2 linked regions of the Notamacropus eugenii genome follow. The protein of the gene in region 2 purifies or fractionates together with the protein of the main gene of each other region. This does not show direct contact. Links are inferred from orthologs where the notes say so. Each region holds a gene or a part of one and is shown on either strand. Other genes may lie near its edges.

Evidence for each region.
Region 1: the proteins of NOP2 (region 2) and FTSJ3 fractionate together in Homo sapiens (co-fractionation; 3 studies listed by BioGRID and IntAct, with this or other methods). This does not show direct contact. The link is inferred for Notamacropus eugenii from reciprocal best matches to the Homo sapiens genes NOP2 and FTSJ3.

What each region holds. Positions count from the first base shown.
Region 1 is NC_092873.1:343,826,621-343,833,918, forward strand, and holds the start of FTSJ3 (pre-rRNA 2'-O-ribose RNA methyltransferase FTSJ3), read left to right. Parts: upstream 1-4,129; 5' UTR 4,130-4,196; coding exon 4,197-4,263; intron 4,264-4,367; coding exon 4,368-4,473; intron 4,474-4,741; coding exon 4,742-4,788; intron 4,789-4,890; coding exon 4,891-4,970; intron 4,971-5,621; coding exon 5,622-5,721; intron 5,722-5,797; coding exon 5,798-5,992; intron 5,993-6,098; coding exon 6,099-6,214; intron 6,215-6,322; coding exon 6,323-6,427; intron 6,428-6,523; coding exon 6,524-6,624; intron 6,625-6,902; coding exon 6,903-6,983; intron 6,984-7,084; coding exon 7,085-7,222; intron 7,223-7,298. Other genes in the region: PSMC5 (26S proteasome regulatory subunit 8), read right to left, coding at 1-50, 144-242, 346-536, 657-783, 967-1,197, 1,288-1,344, 1,550-1,647, 2,214-2,283 and 2 more.
Region 2 is NC_092874.1:194,961,371-194,968,815, reverse strand, and holds the start of NOP2 (28S rRNA (cytosine(4447)-C(5))-methyltransferase), read left to right. Parts: upstream 1-4,381; 5' UTR 4,382-4,417; exon of another isoform or gene 4,418-4,444; intron 4,445-7,445. UniProt on the Homo sapiens protein: S-adenosyl-L-methionine-dependent methyltransferase that specifically methylates the C(5) position of cytosine 4447 in 28S rRNA. Required for efficient rRNA processing and 60S ribosomal subunit biogenesis.

The sequences.
Region 1 (7,298 bases), on a different chromosome or scaffold from region 2:
CGAGTTAGGTTCATTTTCCGAGAATGAATCTTCAAGATATCCAATCGTGCCTGTAGTGGTAGAGAGGAGAGGGAAGCCTTGAGCACCACACTCCCCTCCTCTTAGGCAGCTACACTTTCCCCTGAGTGCTCTCTACCACCAACCTCCTCATTAGGGGGCGGAAACTCAATCTTCCTGTCAATTCTACCAGGGCGAAGTAGAGCAGAGTCCAGGATGTCAATTCTGTTGGTGGCCATGATAACCTGTGAGAAAAAAGAGGGCTTGTCAGCTGTCTTTATTCTCTTTTGCAGGCTAGGTTCTACCCTTTTCTTCTTCTCTACCTGCTCCAACCAGAGTCCTTCCCACCTTGATGTTTTTAGTGGCTTCAAAGCCATCCAGCTGGTTGAGCAGTTCTAGCATTGTTCGCTGTACTTCACTGTCTCCCCCAGAACCACCTTCTAGGCGTGAAGAACCAATGGAGTCAATCTCATCCATGAAGATGATGGAGGGGGCATGTTCTCGGGCCATAACAAACAATTCCCGTACCATTCTTGCCCCTGAAAAACATAGGACGTGTCAAAAGCTGAGTACGAAACTGGGGGAAGGATTCTGGTTGGCCCCGCACCTCATCTAACCCATGGTTACCTCATGACTTTATCTTCCCCTACCATGCTCACCTTCACCAATGAATTTCTGTACCAGTTCTGAGCCAGAGACACGAATAAAGGTGCAATCAGTGTGATGAGCCACAGCCCGAGCCAAGAGAGTTTTGCCAGTTCCTGGAGGTCCATACAGCAACACACCCTAGGGTAGGGTATGCGAAACTCAGTCCTCTCATAGTAAATTCCACCTCTATTCTCTCATATCCCAATTAATGTCTTTCAGGCACAACTGCCTCTGACCTCTTTGTGACTTAACATTGGTATCTGGTGCAGGGCATGGATGAGAACCTCCCATTTGGCTCCCACAGTAAATCCTACCCCTCACCTTGGGCTGTGCAATGCCTAGTGCTTCAAAGAGCTCAGGATGCTTAACAGGCAGTTCAATCACTTCTTTGATCTCCTTGATCTGCTTGTCTAGGCCACCAATCATCTCATAGGTTGAATCAGGCACTTTTTCCACCATCATCAAAGATACCAATGGATCTACTTTGTTGGGCAGAATTTTGTGCAGGGTGTAGCTGTCATTTCGAAGAGCCACACGGCAATTGGGTGTCACCTGGTTATGGTGGATGATTTTAGAAAACATCACTACAATACAGCACACAGGTTCCAGCCCCTTACCCCCTTTATTCCTTGCTACACTTACATCATTGATGTCGATGTTCTTATCTACATCAACCACAAACTTCCCTTCAGGATGTACCTAGAGGGAGGAGTTTATTAGCTTTCCAAGTGGCATCAGTCTCCATCCCAGGTACCAAGTCATACAACCAAGGAAAAGTCAAGGAACATTAAAAGAATATGTATCAACCAATAAGATGCAACACTGTCCCCTCCCAAGGGTCCATTTAAGGGGTAACAAATATAGCAAATAAACCTGTTTCAGTCCCTGGGGTCAAACTCTGTACCTTGACCAAAACTTTCTTTTTATCCATAGCTCGGACCACTTCCCCCACATAGGACCCCTGCTCCTGCAACAGCTGCAGCTCCTCCCGTAGCAGGCGCACTGTATGAGAAGCAAATATGAGCAGTTTTGTTTCTTTTAATTTTGCAACGTTTTGCTAAATAGCTCAACAAACTACCTGATTACCATTCCAGCCCAGTAATTCAAATAATTCAAGCACTGTTGTGAAGCATAAAATATTTTGATCTTTAAATGTTTTCAATATATTTAGAAATGTAAATAATGCTAATCCAATCATAATGCTTCTGTTCAATTGTTTTGGTTGTGGCCAACTAGTGGTAACCCCACTTAGGGTTTTCTTGGCAAAGACACTGGAGCTATTTGCCATTTCCTTCTCCAGCTCATCTTACAGTGAAGGAAATTGAGGCAAACAAGGTTAAGTGATTTGCTCAGGGTCATACAGTACTAAGTGTCTGAGACCAGATGTGAACTCAGGAAAATGAGTTTTTCTGACTCCAAGCTTGGCACTCTATCAACTGCACCACACAACCGCTCAATCACATGCTAGTTTGTATTACTATTTGAAATGTAGCAAGGGAGGGTACCACCCAGAAAGTCAAAACAGAAGCCAGAATCTATGAATCCCAGTCATTATGCTGGGCTCCCACCTTTTGCATTTAGCTCATTTCTTTGTGCTTGCAAACGACGTAGATTTTGGCTCTTGTCATTCACGATCAGCTGAAGTGGGCAGAAGATAACAAGTATAATGTATAGGCAAGTAGCTAAAAAAAAAAAAATTTCCTGGCCAAATTTCCTAAATGTGATTATGAAAAGGGACAAGGTCTGCTATACCTGGTTTCAGATTCTAGCAAACAGATCACATCCACCCTGTTCTATGCCTCAAAAAGTCCTGCCATGATTCAAAAAGGTCCAAAGAAGAAGCTAATTCTAGCCTAGATATTACATGCCCTCACAAAGAGAGCTTCAAAATTCTGGGGGACCTTTATTTTTTTTATTAAAGCCCAGGTCAGTTATTCACTACAACAATGGAGTTTGTAACACAGACCAGACAGCTGCTAACCCTACCTCTTACAGCTACATACTTTATTTTTCCTACAAAAACTTTAAAGCCCCCACCGAAGCTTGTGAAAATATCCTTCACTACGTCTTCATTCCACCCAGTTTCTACTCTTAGACCTCTAAAATTAGAATTCTGGGTTTTCTGTCTTCCTTGAGCTCAGGCCCAAGCAACAGGTGTCTTCCCAGCATTTGTCACGCGGAAGGTTCCCAAGCTTCTTCATCTCACTTATTTTTTTTCAACCCAACCCCCTCCCTATGTGGCCAGCCCAACTTTCCATGCCTTCCCTCCCTCCCTAAGGGGGGGTCCTTGGAGACTGATTTCTTTCCCCTCCTCCCAATCTGACCCCCACTCCCATAACACCCGGGCTCTCCCTCCCCCCTCCATCCCATGGCCTCCCGGAGTGACGCTGACAGAGATTCCTCCCGGAACCTTCAAGCCCTCCTCGTCCCTTGCCCCGCGTCTCACCTGAAGTTCCTCGATCTTGGACAGGTAATACTGCCGCAGCCCACTCCCGGCCTTGCCCTCCTCCAACTCCATCTGCTGAAGAAACGTTATCAGATAACATTCTGGGGGGTGCCTACGGCACAGAGACCCGTGAGGCTGGCACAGCTCCCTGCCCGCCAGGAGCCTGCCATCAACGCGGGCGTGAAAGCGACACGCACCCGCACGAACACCAATCACGCGCGGGGCACGAGGGCGGCCCCGCCCCGTGCGATCTGGGCTCGGGGCCGCATCCCCGGCCCCTGACCCGGCCGGGGCGGCGCTGACAAAGCACGTCGGCCTGTGGGGTAGCACCGGCCCTAGCTGAAGCTCGGCCCCCGCCTCCATCGGATCCAAACCTGGGTTCGGTTTGTCCCCCGCCCAGATATGACTTCCAAACCCCATCTGTCCCCGCAATTTCCCTGCCCGGGCCCCGCCGCAACCTTCCTACCTGCTCCGGTCCGTCCAGCGCCATCTTCCTTCCTCAGATCCGGATGCCGGCATCCAAGTGAGTTCTGGGCGCAAGCGCAAAAGGGCGGGAGCCGCCGCGGTCCGCGATTAAACTTCCGGGTCAAGCGACGCGACTCTCAAGAATGATCGCTGGTAGAGGCCATGTTGGGAAGGTCGGAACTCCACGTCTGGCCATTTCGGAGAGCGAAGAGAGGAAATGACCCGAAAATGCCCCTCCCAGACACTCCCTCGACAATTGGCTCCTACTGCTCCCTCACCCGCTCGCTGGGTCTTAGGTTTACTTGTATGGGAATCCAGGGCGGAGCTCTTGGGGACGTCACTTCCTGCCTCTGACTTCCACGGCAGTAAAGGGCTTGGATTAGATCACCGTGAACGTCCCGCCCTATGGGAAAGTCCAAACCGTCCTATCAAAACCACCTCAAAAATCTTTCTCTACAGACTCAAGATGGCTGAAGGGGCGGAGTCATCTCCGTAAGAGCGAAGGCGACGGAAGAGGGAGGGAGCGCATCCCCAGCCTACACGTGCCCCCGAAAGTTGGGCCGGAGGTTCTGGTGGGCCTCCGCGCGTGCGGCGGAGACTTCTCCCCGGCCAGAGTGAGGGCACACCTCCCCGCGGCGCCATGGGAAAGAAGGGCAAAGTCGGGAAGAGCCGGCGGGACAAGTTCTACCACCTGGCCAAGGAGACCGGTGAGTCGCGAGGACCCCGCGGGCCCTCCGTCCGGGCCTCCGTCGTCCGGGCCTCCGTCGTCCGGGCCCCCGGCCCCGCTCACTCGGCCCCTCTCCTCCCGCAGGCTTCCGTTCCCGCTCCGCGTTCAAGCTGATCCAGCTGAACCGCCGCTTCCAGTTCTTGCAGAAAGCCCGGGCCCTGCTGGACCTGTGCGCGGCGCCCGGGGGATGGTGCGTGCCCGCGGCCCCTTCCTCGGCCTTCCTTCCGTCCACCCCCACCCGCCGCGCTCACGCCGGGCATTTCCTAGGGCGCTGGTTCTTTTTATCTGCCCCTCCCCGCGCCCAGCCCCCGCCGCGGGACTGACAGGTTACAACGCCCCTCCTCCCCCTTCACCATCCCCCCCCGCCCCCACAGACACGCACCCAGGGGACAGAAGCGGGCTCCTTCGTGCTGGAGGAACTTCCCAGCGTCATCTCCTCGCTCTCTTTAACTCCCCAGGCTGCAGGTGGCTTCCAAGTTCATGCCAGTGTCCAGCCTCATTGTGGGTGAGTGTACCGTGTGGCCCCCCGCTGCGTGGGCTGGGGAGTTTGGGGTCCCACCCGCATCCCCCGTCGTAGCTGGGATCTCACCCTGCGTGTTTTTTCTAGGAGTGGACCTGGTTCCCATCAAGCCCATTCCCAACGTGGTTACGCTGCAAGAGGACATCACAACCGAAAGATGCCGCCAGGTCAGCCTTTGCCCCTCGCTCCTTTGGGGAGTCCTTGCCATGGGAGTGAGAGCTTTGGCCGCGTGAAGGAAGAAGCATCTGCTAAGCACTTGCACTGTGCCAGGCACCAGGGATATAGATACGTACAGAAGATGATCCTGGTGGTGGCATAAAGGAGACTCATTCCGGAGTTTGGGTTCTGAGTGAGGGTAACAGAGAGGGCCAAGTGACGAATGGCTGGAGCCCTCAGGCCAGACCACAGTGGGGGACGCATTTGTGAGGGGCATGAAATGGCTTCTGGTAGGGGCAGGGGGAACTAGGGATTGGGGTGGGCACAGGTGGTGAGTGAGTGGGGGTTGGAGCCAGGTGTGTGTGTTCAGTGTTAAGGATGGGATTTGTCATCATGGATTTTTTCACTTGAGAGAAATGCAAGTACGTAAGCGGGAGAAGACTTGGGACCCTGTTTTACCCATGGTGTAACGTCCAGTGTGGTTGTGCTGTTTATACAAGGCTAGTTGTGTTGTCCTTGACTTTTGTCATTCTCCATTTTCATGTCCATCATGTGTTTCTTGGTTTAAGTGAAAACATGTATCCAGCCCTTGAAAGGGGCTACACCATAGGGAAGATCTAGAGTTTGGTAAGGAGGTGTGACTTTCTGTTTGCCTTTTCCAGGCTCTCAAGAAGGAGCTGAAGACTTGGAAGGTTGATGTTGTGCTCAATGATGGGGCCCCTAATGTAGGGGCTAGCTGGGTCCATGATGCCTACTCACAAGGTACCTAAGGAGATTTGGGGCTGGGACTATTCACAGATAGTGAACACTCTAGCTGACGAGTCTTGATTCCCCTCAGCCCACCTGACCTTGATGGCACTCCGTCTGGCTTGTGATTTTCTTGCACGTGGTGGCTGCTTTATTACTAAGGTTTTTCGCTCTCGTGACTACCAGCCCCTTCTCTGGATTTTCCAGCAGTTGTTTCGCCACGTCCAGGCCACTAAGCCCCAGGCCTCCCGTCAGGAATCGGCAGAAATCTTTGTGGTCTGTCAGGGTGAGTTGTCTTTTATCCCTGTATATTCTACTCCTAAGGCCTCTTTTTTTTCCCCTTTAAAGCCTGTTCTTATCTTTTCCCTTTTCTCTATACGCTTCTCTTCCAGGTTTCCTGGCTCCTGATAAGATTGACAGTAAATTCTTTGACCCCAAATTTGCCTTTAAAGAGGTTGAAGTTCAGGCCAAGACTGTGAGTGAATTGGTAACCAAGAAAAAGCCCAAGGTATGTATGTGAAAGAGAAGTGCACATACCCTGAAATCTCTGAGAATCATTGAAAACACCTCAAAGGGGACTCCCCTGTCTGTTCTGTGTTTCTTTCCTGGTCCCTAGGCTGAAGGCTATGCTGAAGGGGACCTCACCCTCTATCATCGGGTCTCCCTTACTGACTTTCTCCAAGCAGCCAACCCTGTTGACTTCCTCTCCAAAGCTAGTGAGGTGAGTGTCCAGAATTAAAGAGACTTGTGGAAGAGTCTCCCTGACCCAACTAGGAAGTTTAGTCCTTTCTAATGATTCTCCTTCCTTGCTGAGCAGATCATACTAGATGATAAGGAATTGGAACAGCATCCAGCTACTAGTGAGGACGTCAAGGTGTGCTGCCAGGACATCAAAGTACTGGGTCGAAAGGAGCTCAGGTACTGGGGCGAACATCTCAAATCATGAGACTGAGAGGGACCTTGGGCAAGCCTGAGTGTGTATGAGACAGAGTAAGGCCCAAGGAGACTTGAGGAGCAAGTGGTAACTGGTACCTTTCTTGTAACAGGAAACCTTTGTCCCAGAAATTCGGGTTTGGGACAAAGCATTGATTTTCACTTATTTTGTGATCTTGGTATCTGAATGTAGCTCTGATGCCCTCAATGAAACATTTAATGATGATAGAGTAGGGTGGTCAGTAACAGGGCTTTTGGAACAGGTCCCTGCTGAATTGGAGGACAAAGCTTCGTCGGTTTGTGGCCAAGAAGCTAAAAGATCAAGCAAAGGCACTGGACATCAGGTAAGCTGAGGATCAAGGCAGAGCATAAAATTTGAGGAACATTGGAAGAGGGCTAATGACATTGACTGTGCCTTCATTTATCTGTTTTACCTCCATTCCAGTCTTAGTTCTGGAGAGGAGGAGGAGGAGGAGGAAGAAGAAGGAGGAAAAAAGACAGCAGCTGCTGCTGAGGATGATGAGGAAGATTTGGATAGGGCTCTTGCAGAAATGAAAGCCCAGGAGGTAGCAGAGCTGAAAAGGTGAGAGAGAAGGGTTTGGTAACAGAGCTAGGGCCTTATAAGTAGGGAAGGAAGAGAGCAATCCCAGGACACAAAG
Region 2 (7,445 bases):
GGAACTTAACTCTTCCCACTTGAAATGTCTAAGACACACCTTCAGCAAGGGGAGGAGAGTCACCAGCCTTTTAGTGATCTGAAAAAGAAAACATTGCAGTGGTCCTTCCCTCAGTTCCCAAACCACTCTGAACTTTCCAGCAGATCAAAGTTCAGAATTAGGAGAACAGCTGTGGGTTCTCCTCTTATAATGTATCCTCATTATGTTTGTAGTTACAGTGATTTAAATAATTTAAATTTATTGAGTGATGCAATAATTCTTACAAAATTTTATATCTTTAATGTTTTTAATATAAAATATACCCTCTTTGGCTGCAATTATTTGTTTTAGATGTTTTTGGACTGAGTTCACAAGATATTGACACATTCTCTAATTTAACAGGAAGTCACACTTTTATCACACTGGATTTTAAGCATAACTTTAACAAATAGCTCATTTCCCCAAATCTAATCTTGATTACTGCTTATAGGGTTTTTTAAAATTTTATCTTCATCTCTGAATTCTCTCCCTCCTACACCCTGCCCCCCAATTCTTGCATTGATTGAAAAAGCAAGAAAAATAAAACCTGTCACAAACCATAGTCAAACTAATAAGTTTTCAATAAGTCAGTTCCAGGTCACTGAAACATGTTTATCTCTGTCTTAGATAAATCCTTATCCTTTTGTGACATATATACAAGGTAAGTTTTCCTAATACTTCTGGAACAATTCAGCTTCTCAGTATAATATAGTTGCCAGCATTCATCATTCCTACATTGGGGATAAGAATTTCACTCCTGATGAAGTAAAAAGATTTCCAAAATATTTTTTTGGAGGAATGGATGGTTTAACAGTTTGATGAAGATGCACGTGTTTTACAGGTTTATCTGGACTTCTGGTATAAAACTTTGAATGAAAAAGATGAGTTTCATAAGAAAAAAACATTACCTTTTCCTAATCTTCATCTGTCTTTGTATTATCTTGCCCACCATAAGCAGTTTTTAATTCATAACAATAATTAGCAACTTTTTTTTTTTTTGCTTTTCTTCCAACTTTCAAAAGCTTATGCCACGTTGTAAAGGAATCAGTAAAAGCTCCCAAACCCGGGGTTCTCTGAAGGTCTGTGCTTATCTTCTGGGAATTAATCAGGCTATTTTGTAGTAATATTTTGTCAGTTCTCTGTGTTGTTTTCCTCTTTTTTTTTTTTTAAACCAGTGCAACTGATCCTGTTTCATTGGGACAGCTAGGTGGTGCAGTGGATAGAGCACCAGTGCAGGAGTAGTTCAAATTTCACCTCAGACACTTGACACTCACTAGCTGTGTGACCTTGGGCAAGTCACTTAACCCCAACTGCCTCATCCTGGGTCATCTCCAGTCATCCTGATGAATATCTGGTCACTGGATTCAGATGGCTCTGGAGGAGAAGTGAGGCTGGTGACCTGCACAGCCCTCCCTCCCTTTAAACAAAGTCCAATGCAAGTCCTGTCACCATGTCTCTGATGGCCTGGACGAACACACACCACCCTGTTTCACTGGGACTTGAATGACCATTGAAACATGATTTCCCCACACAAATAGTGGCTGAGTACTTCTAAGAGTCACTGAAGCGTGCTTTTTAAGAACTACAACTTTTGCACGTTCTCACTGAAAACCACCACAACATAGAATCAAAAGCACAACGAGAGTCATGAATACGGGTATGGGGCACCAAATCCAGCACCCAACCCACGAGAAGTGGGGGGGGGGGGTCAACATCCGAAGCTGTTAAGTCAGCCTGGCGCAAATACGCAGCTCCACGGGTCGCAGGCCATATTACACCCTCCCAAGAGAACGGGAGCTCCTTAGGCGCAGGGCTAGTCTCTTTTGTCTTTAGACCACGACCAAGTATATACAGCCTTGAACGTGGGCCGAACTGAAATGAGGTCCTCGCCCTTTAACGCACCAACCCCCTCCACTTACCTTAGGAGGACTGCTTCATAATTCATGAGACGAAGATCCTCCTTCCCTCAACCAGAAGTCCCGCCCCCACGCGCCAAATGCCCCCTAGGGATAGTGAGTTCATTTCTGCCCTTACTTACCCCCGCTAGTTCCGGTTCACGTCACGTTCACCTCTGACCATTGAAATGTTGCCCTTCGACGAAGCCACTTCCGCCCTCATTCATCCCGACTTCCGCCTCGGGGGTGTCCGTCTCCCCAGGTGCCCGTACTACCAGAATCGCTCTAGTCGCTCCCGGAAGTGACTGGGCCTTTGCACCCTCCCCTCCTTCTCCTCCCACCCCAGTTCCCTCCTTTCCCCACCCCTCCTTCGTTTCCGGTGTTCCCGCCTTCTCGCCGCAGCGGCTCCTCTCCAGGCCTGTGGGGGGAGGGGGGAGGGAGGGGGGTGGGGAGGGGAGGAATCTGGGTTCTTCAGTGCAGGAGCGCCAGCAGCACTTCCGGGTGAGTGGAGAGGAGGGGGGGCGCCCAGTGCCTCGCGCCCCCGCCCTGCGGGTGTGTGGAGCGGGGCGTGTGTATGTGTGTGTGTGTGTGTGTGTGTGTGTGTGTGTGGTGTGTGTGTCCGTCCGTCCGTGAGTACACACGCCTCCGGGGTGGGGGGCAGGAGGGTCCGTCAGTCCGCCCAGCGCCCCGAGTGCGCGCGCTCTCTCGAGCTCCACTTCCCCTCATCCCATTTCCCTCCCCCCCACCCCTCTGCCTCCTCCCGGCAAAAGGCACGCGCCGCCCCCTCCCGAGCCGCTCTCTGACTCTCGCGCCGCCGCTGCTGCTGCTGCAGCCGCTGGAGCCGGGTGAGTCTCGCGGCGCCGCCGCCGCCGCTGCCGGCGCGCTCCGTGTGCCCTCCTCCCTGTCCCGAAGGGGGTGGGGGGGCTCTGTGTGTGCCTCTCCCCCCCTCCCGGAACCGGAAGTGGTTGTGGAGTAGCGGGCGCAGGGGTGGGGGGCGGGGGGAATGGTGGGAGTGGGGGTGTAGGGGGTGGGTTTCTGGTGGGTGTTGGAGCTGGGCTCTTGGAGGGGAGGGATCCGATGTCCCAGAAGGGCTCAGAGGAAGGGGGCGTGAGCAAGTGGGGGGAGACTCTTAGCTGCTGCCTAGGGGGAAGAAGGGGTGTAGCAGAGCAGAGGGGGCCCTGTGGGGGGGAGGGGCTGAGGTTGGAGCCGGAGGGGCTTCCTGGAATGGGGCCCTTGACAGATGAGGGGCAAAGTCCTCCCAGGGGCTTGGGGTGGGGGGGAATGGCCCGTGGGAGTGGCTAGGCCTGCACTAGGCATTCTGCCTCCTGGCACGAGAACTTGGGGAGCCCCCATCCTAGTTGTCCCCAGATTTGTCTTCTGTCCTCACAGGTGGGAGGTGACCAGACTGTCCCCTTTCCCCCTCCTTCCCAACCTCCTTTTTTCCTGGCTTCTGCCCCTTGGGTGCCTGTGAGAAGGAATTGAGTGTCCAAGCTTTGCTCTTGTGGGGTGCGTGTGTGGGGGTGCCTTTCACCTCATGCTGAAATGGTGAAGATAGTTCAACTTCTTTAGTAGGGATTAAATCCTTTTCCTAGTGACCAAATTCCTGTGCTTGTAACCTTCCCTCTCTTGGGTTAGAGGCAGGAATTTTGCTTTCCCTCCAGACTGACAGCTGACAGATTGGAAATCCTCAGAGGTCCCGACATCTCATTAATTACATCCTTTTTGACCATTCTAACACAGACACTTTGTTTTCAGAAAGTTCGGGAGCCTTGAGGAGGAGGAGGAGGAATAGGACAGAAGGAGGAGGAGAGAGAGGGTAAGAAACCTTTAACATAAAGAGGGGAAGAGAAGGTCATTTTACCCATATTGAATGTTTTTCTTTAGGTAACAAGTTAATAATGCCTTTTGTTGTTGCACGACACTTTATACGAAGTGTCCGCCTGTAGTAGATCAGTTTAGAACTTCCTCCAGTTTTGAAAATGGTATTCAGACTAGCTTTTGGAGATTCTCACTATGTTGGTCTGGGTGGCTCTTTTAGGCTGTTCATCAAGAGACTAGTTAGGGTTGGGAGCCCCAAGTTAAACCACCTCTGATAGTCACAGTGCCATTTAAAGAGATGCTATTTGTGTTCCCATGTGGCATTGCTCAGCAGTGATTTCCTGCTATTGGAGTGAGCACAGCTTAAAGTGAGCTTCTTTCCTTTGCTCTTAGGAGTGCGGAGGTTTAGGGTAAATCTTCTGATTGAGAGATTCTAGTAGTTAGTGTGTGTCACTAGAGAGTTTTAATTTGGGGACGCAGACAACATCAGATTCTGAGAGTTCAGAGTTGGGGCTCAGTTTGAAAGAAATTGAGAATTGAATTTGCTTGAGAGTTAGGTTTGGAATTTAATATAGAGCTAGCCAAAAAAAGATTCTTTCATAGTGAAAGAATTGTACGATTCTTTTTTATAATTGTTAGATTGTAAGACCGACAGGTAGAAAGAAGCAGTGTTCTGAGATACCTTGGTAGAGTAAGCTAGTGACTATTTTGTGGTAAAGCTAAACAAGACGTGTTTTTACAAACAGAAAGAAATTTGAATACATAGCATCCATTACTGTAAGGTAACTACTGTGAACTAAGTTTAGGGCAGTATGGAGTGAGCTTTTTTCTTTGCTCTTAGGAGTGTAGAGGTTTAGGGTAAATCTTCTGATTGAGAGATTCTAGTAACCCGTGTGTGTCACTAGAGAATTGTAATTTGGGGACCCAGGCAACATCAGATGCTGAGAGTTCAGAGTTGGGGCTCAGTAAGGCTTACTTTCCTTAGGACCCTGAGTTAACAATGACTTAAGTTTGGGCTTTGTCTCTGTCAGAGATAAGTTTTCTCCCCACGGCCATTACTGACCTGTTTTCTAGAGACCCCAGACTTTCCAGGACCCAATTTCCCTTTTCCATATGTGCCTTACCATTATTCTTAGTGAGAATGCCAGCACAAGGAGAAACTATTTTGAAAGATACCTCTACTAATTTAGAATCCTGAGGATGCTGGACCAGGAACTGCTATTCTAGATGGCAGGCTGTTTGTTGGGAATAGTCCTTTTGTTTTGTTTGGACATGAACAGTGGTTCCTGTTCAACAGAGTAGGGACAGTTTTTGAGACATACATGAAAAATTCCTTCAATTCCATTTGCTTATTTGACTGTTCTTTGTAGTTCCTTGTGTGCTTGATGGCACTGAACTGAAGTGTATAGGCAGAAGCTCAAGCCTTATTTCTCTCTGTATGACTTCTCAGTTTATGTGGTCTCTAGCCATTAGTCTTTTTATAGCCCCCCAAACTCACTTGGTTCTTACATTCCCATTAGTTCCCTCTATTGCTCTTCTGCTGGGGTGGGGAGAACAAAACCAAAAAACTTTTATCCTTGCTGACATATGTCTTAGCATCTTTTCTTCACAGGAGTTTTCCAAGCATGTTAAAGCCATATGTTGAAATAAGAAGGTATAAATCTAGAACTCAAAATTATTTTCTCATTCTCTTCTATCAAGTGGGCTGGGTTAAGGAAAATATTCCCCAATACTTAGCAGTGGACTTTGTCCATACCAGATGCTTAATAAGTGGTTGTTGAGTGGATTGATGAATAAGGGTTTCTTTCTAAAAACTATATAAAAGGATTGTGTCTTCTTTGGGAAAAGAAATTGAGACTCTAATAATGTGTGACTGTTATTTCTAGTGGGGAAATCAAGGGAGAGGGTCTCTCTACTTAGACTTTTGTGATAGGGTGATACTCTGGTGGCACTAGCATCATCATTTTATTTATCCCTTAGTAGCAGTATGGTAGGTTAGAATTCTGAGTTCTTGTTTGTGTGTGACCTCAGACAAATTACTTATCTCTCTGCTTCGATTTCCCCCACTTCTGAAGTGTAGTGTAAATTTCCCCAGATCCTTTGCTTCTGGATCTTTTGAGGATTAGTGAAGTAATATGTGTGTGTATGTAGCTCTTTGAGCCTTTTAAAAGAAAAATGCTGTTTAAATTCAAGGCTGTAGTAATGTTAAAATGTATAATTCTCTTCCTTCTTAATGATGATGTAGTTGATGCCTAAAGAGAGCCTTCTCCAAGGCCTTGCAATGAAGAATTTGTCAATAGATTCCAGATTTTCTGATTCCAAGCTTCTTAAAAGTCCTTAAAATTCATTTAGCATAGTAAGATGCTCAATACATATTAGTTGATTGATTGGTATAGTTTTGTACTGTCATCTCGCTTTGACGTTATAAGCTTCCCTGTGTCTCCCTGGACTAGTATAAGACCCTTAAGTTATTATTGACGACAATAGTACAGCAGAAGAGCCAACTTTCTTTGGTTTGGAGCCAACTATTTGTGGGTAGTTTAGGGGCTGTGTATCTTTTCCTCAGTATTGCATATTAGTATGTATCTTTGATATGACGGCTTTGAGAAGGATGGTGATGTGTAAGAGGTGGTGAGGTGGAATATAATAAGTAATAGGAGAAATAATATTGCATCTCTTGCTATGACTTTTGGGTGTTTTAAAGAGTGGTCTTTTCTGGTGAATCTGTCTTCAGCTTTCATTCCTCCTCTTTTTATTTATTCCTTTTCTTTTTATTTAGTGATTTTGTTGGTAAAACCAAAAAAAAAAACGTTAGAGGATTAGCACATTTGTCATCCTTTCCTCCCCCCTAAAAAAAATATTATTTGTGATCCTTAGATGCCTTTGCAGGGAGAAGATGGTGGTTTGCCTGAAAGCTGACCACCACTGGCAGTCTACCAGTCACCATTTCTTATCTTGTCCCCAGACCTTTTACAGGCTCATTCTTTCTTAAGAGTTAGAGAAGAAAACCAGGCAGATGAATATGTAGAAGTTCCTTTTTTCCATTATAGAATAAGGCTCCATCATTTTAAAATCCATTTACCTTGGTGGCCAAGACAGGATTTAAAAAAATAAGACAAGCTGCATTTACTCTCCAAAAGACTCGTTATGTCTCCACCTAGTAAATGAGAGTACCAGTGATACCACTAGAGAGCCATTCTCAGGGTTCAAAACTCCCTGAATTGGATTGAATTGTTTTTGTTGCTTTTGTTCATCTTCAGGCATCCCTCTCTTTAGGTCCCTCTGTCTTCTATTATAGTGTAGTGTTCTTGTCAATAAGGTATATCCCTATCTCCATTTCAAAAGAAATTAGAGCGTGCCTTGATTGCTTTTTTAGGATTTACAAAGTATTCCCTCATAACAACTCTTTGAGGTAGGTAGTACAAGTGTTAGTTTCCTCATTTTGCAGATGGGGAAACTGGAGATAATGATTTACCCATGGTCCTTCAGCAAAGAGTATAAATGGCATTTGAACCCTGGTCTCTTGGCTTCAAGTCCAGTCTTCTTTTGTATATTAGAGGAAAAATGTATAGTAAGTACAGTGAATCCCTTTTAGCTTCTTCAGACCTAACTTCTGATTCCTAGTAGCTATCAATAATTTTATTTCTATGCATTTTCCCTACCACCCTGGAAATTGTACAGCAGGATGTTGCAGGTGGTAGGTCTGAGCTTTAA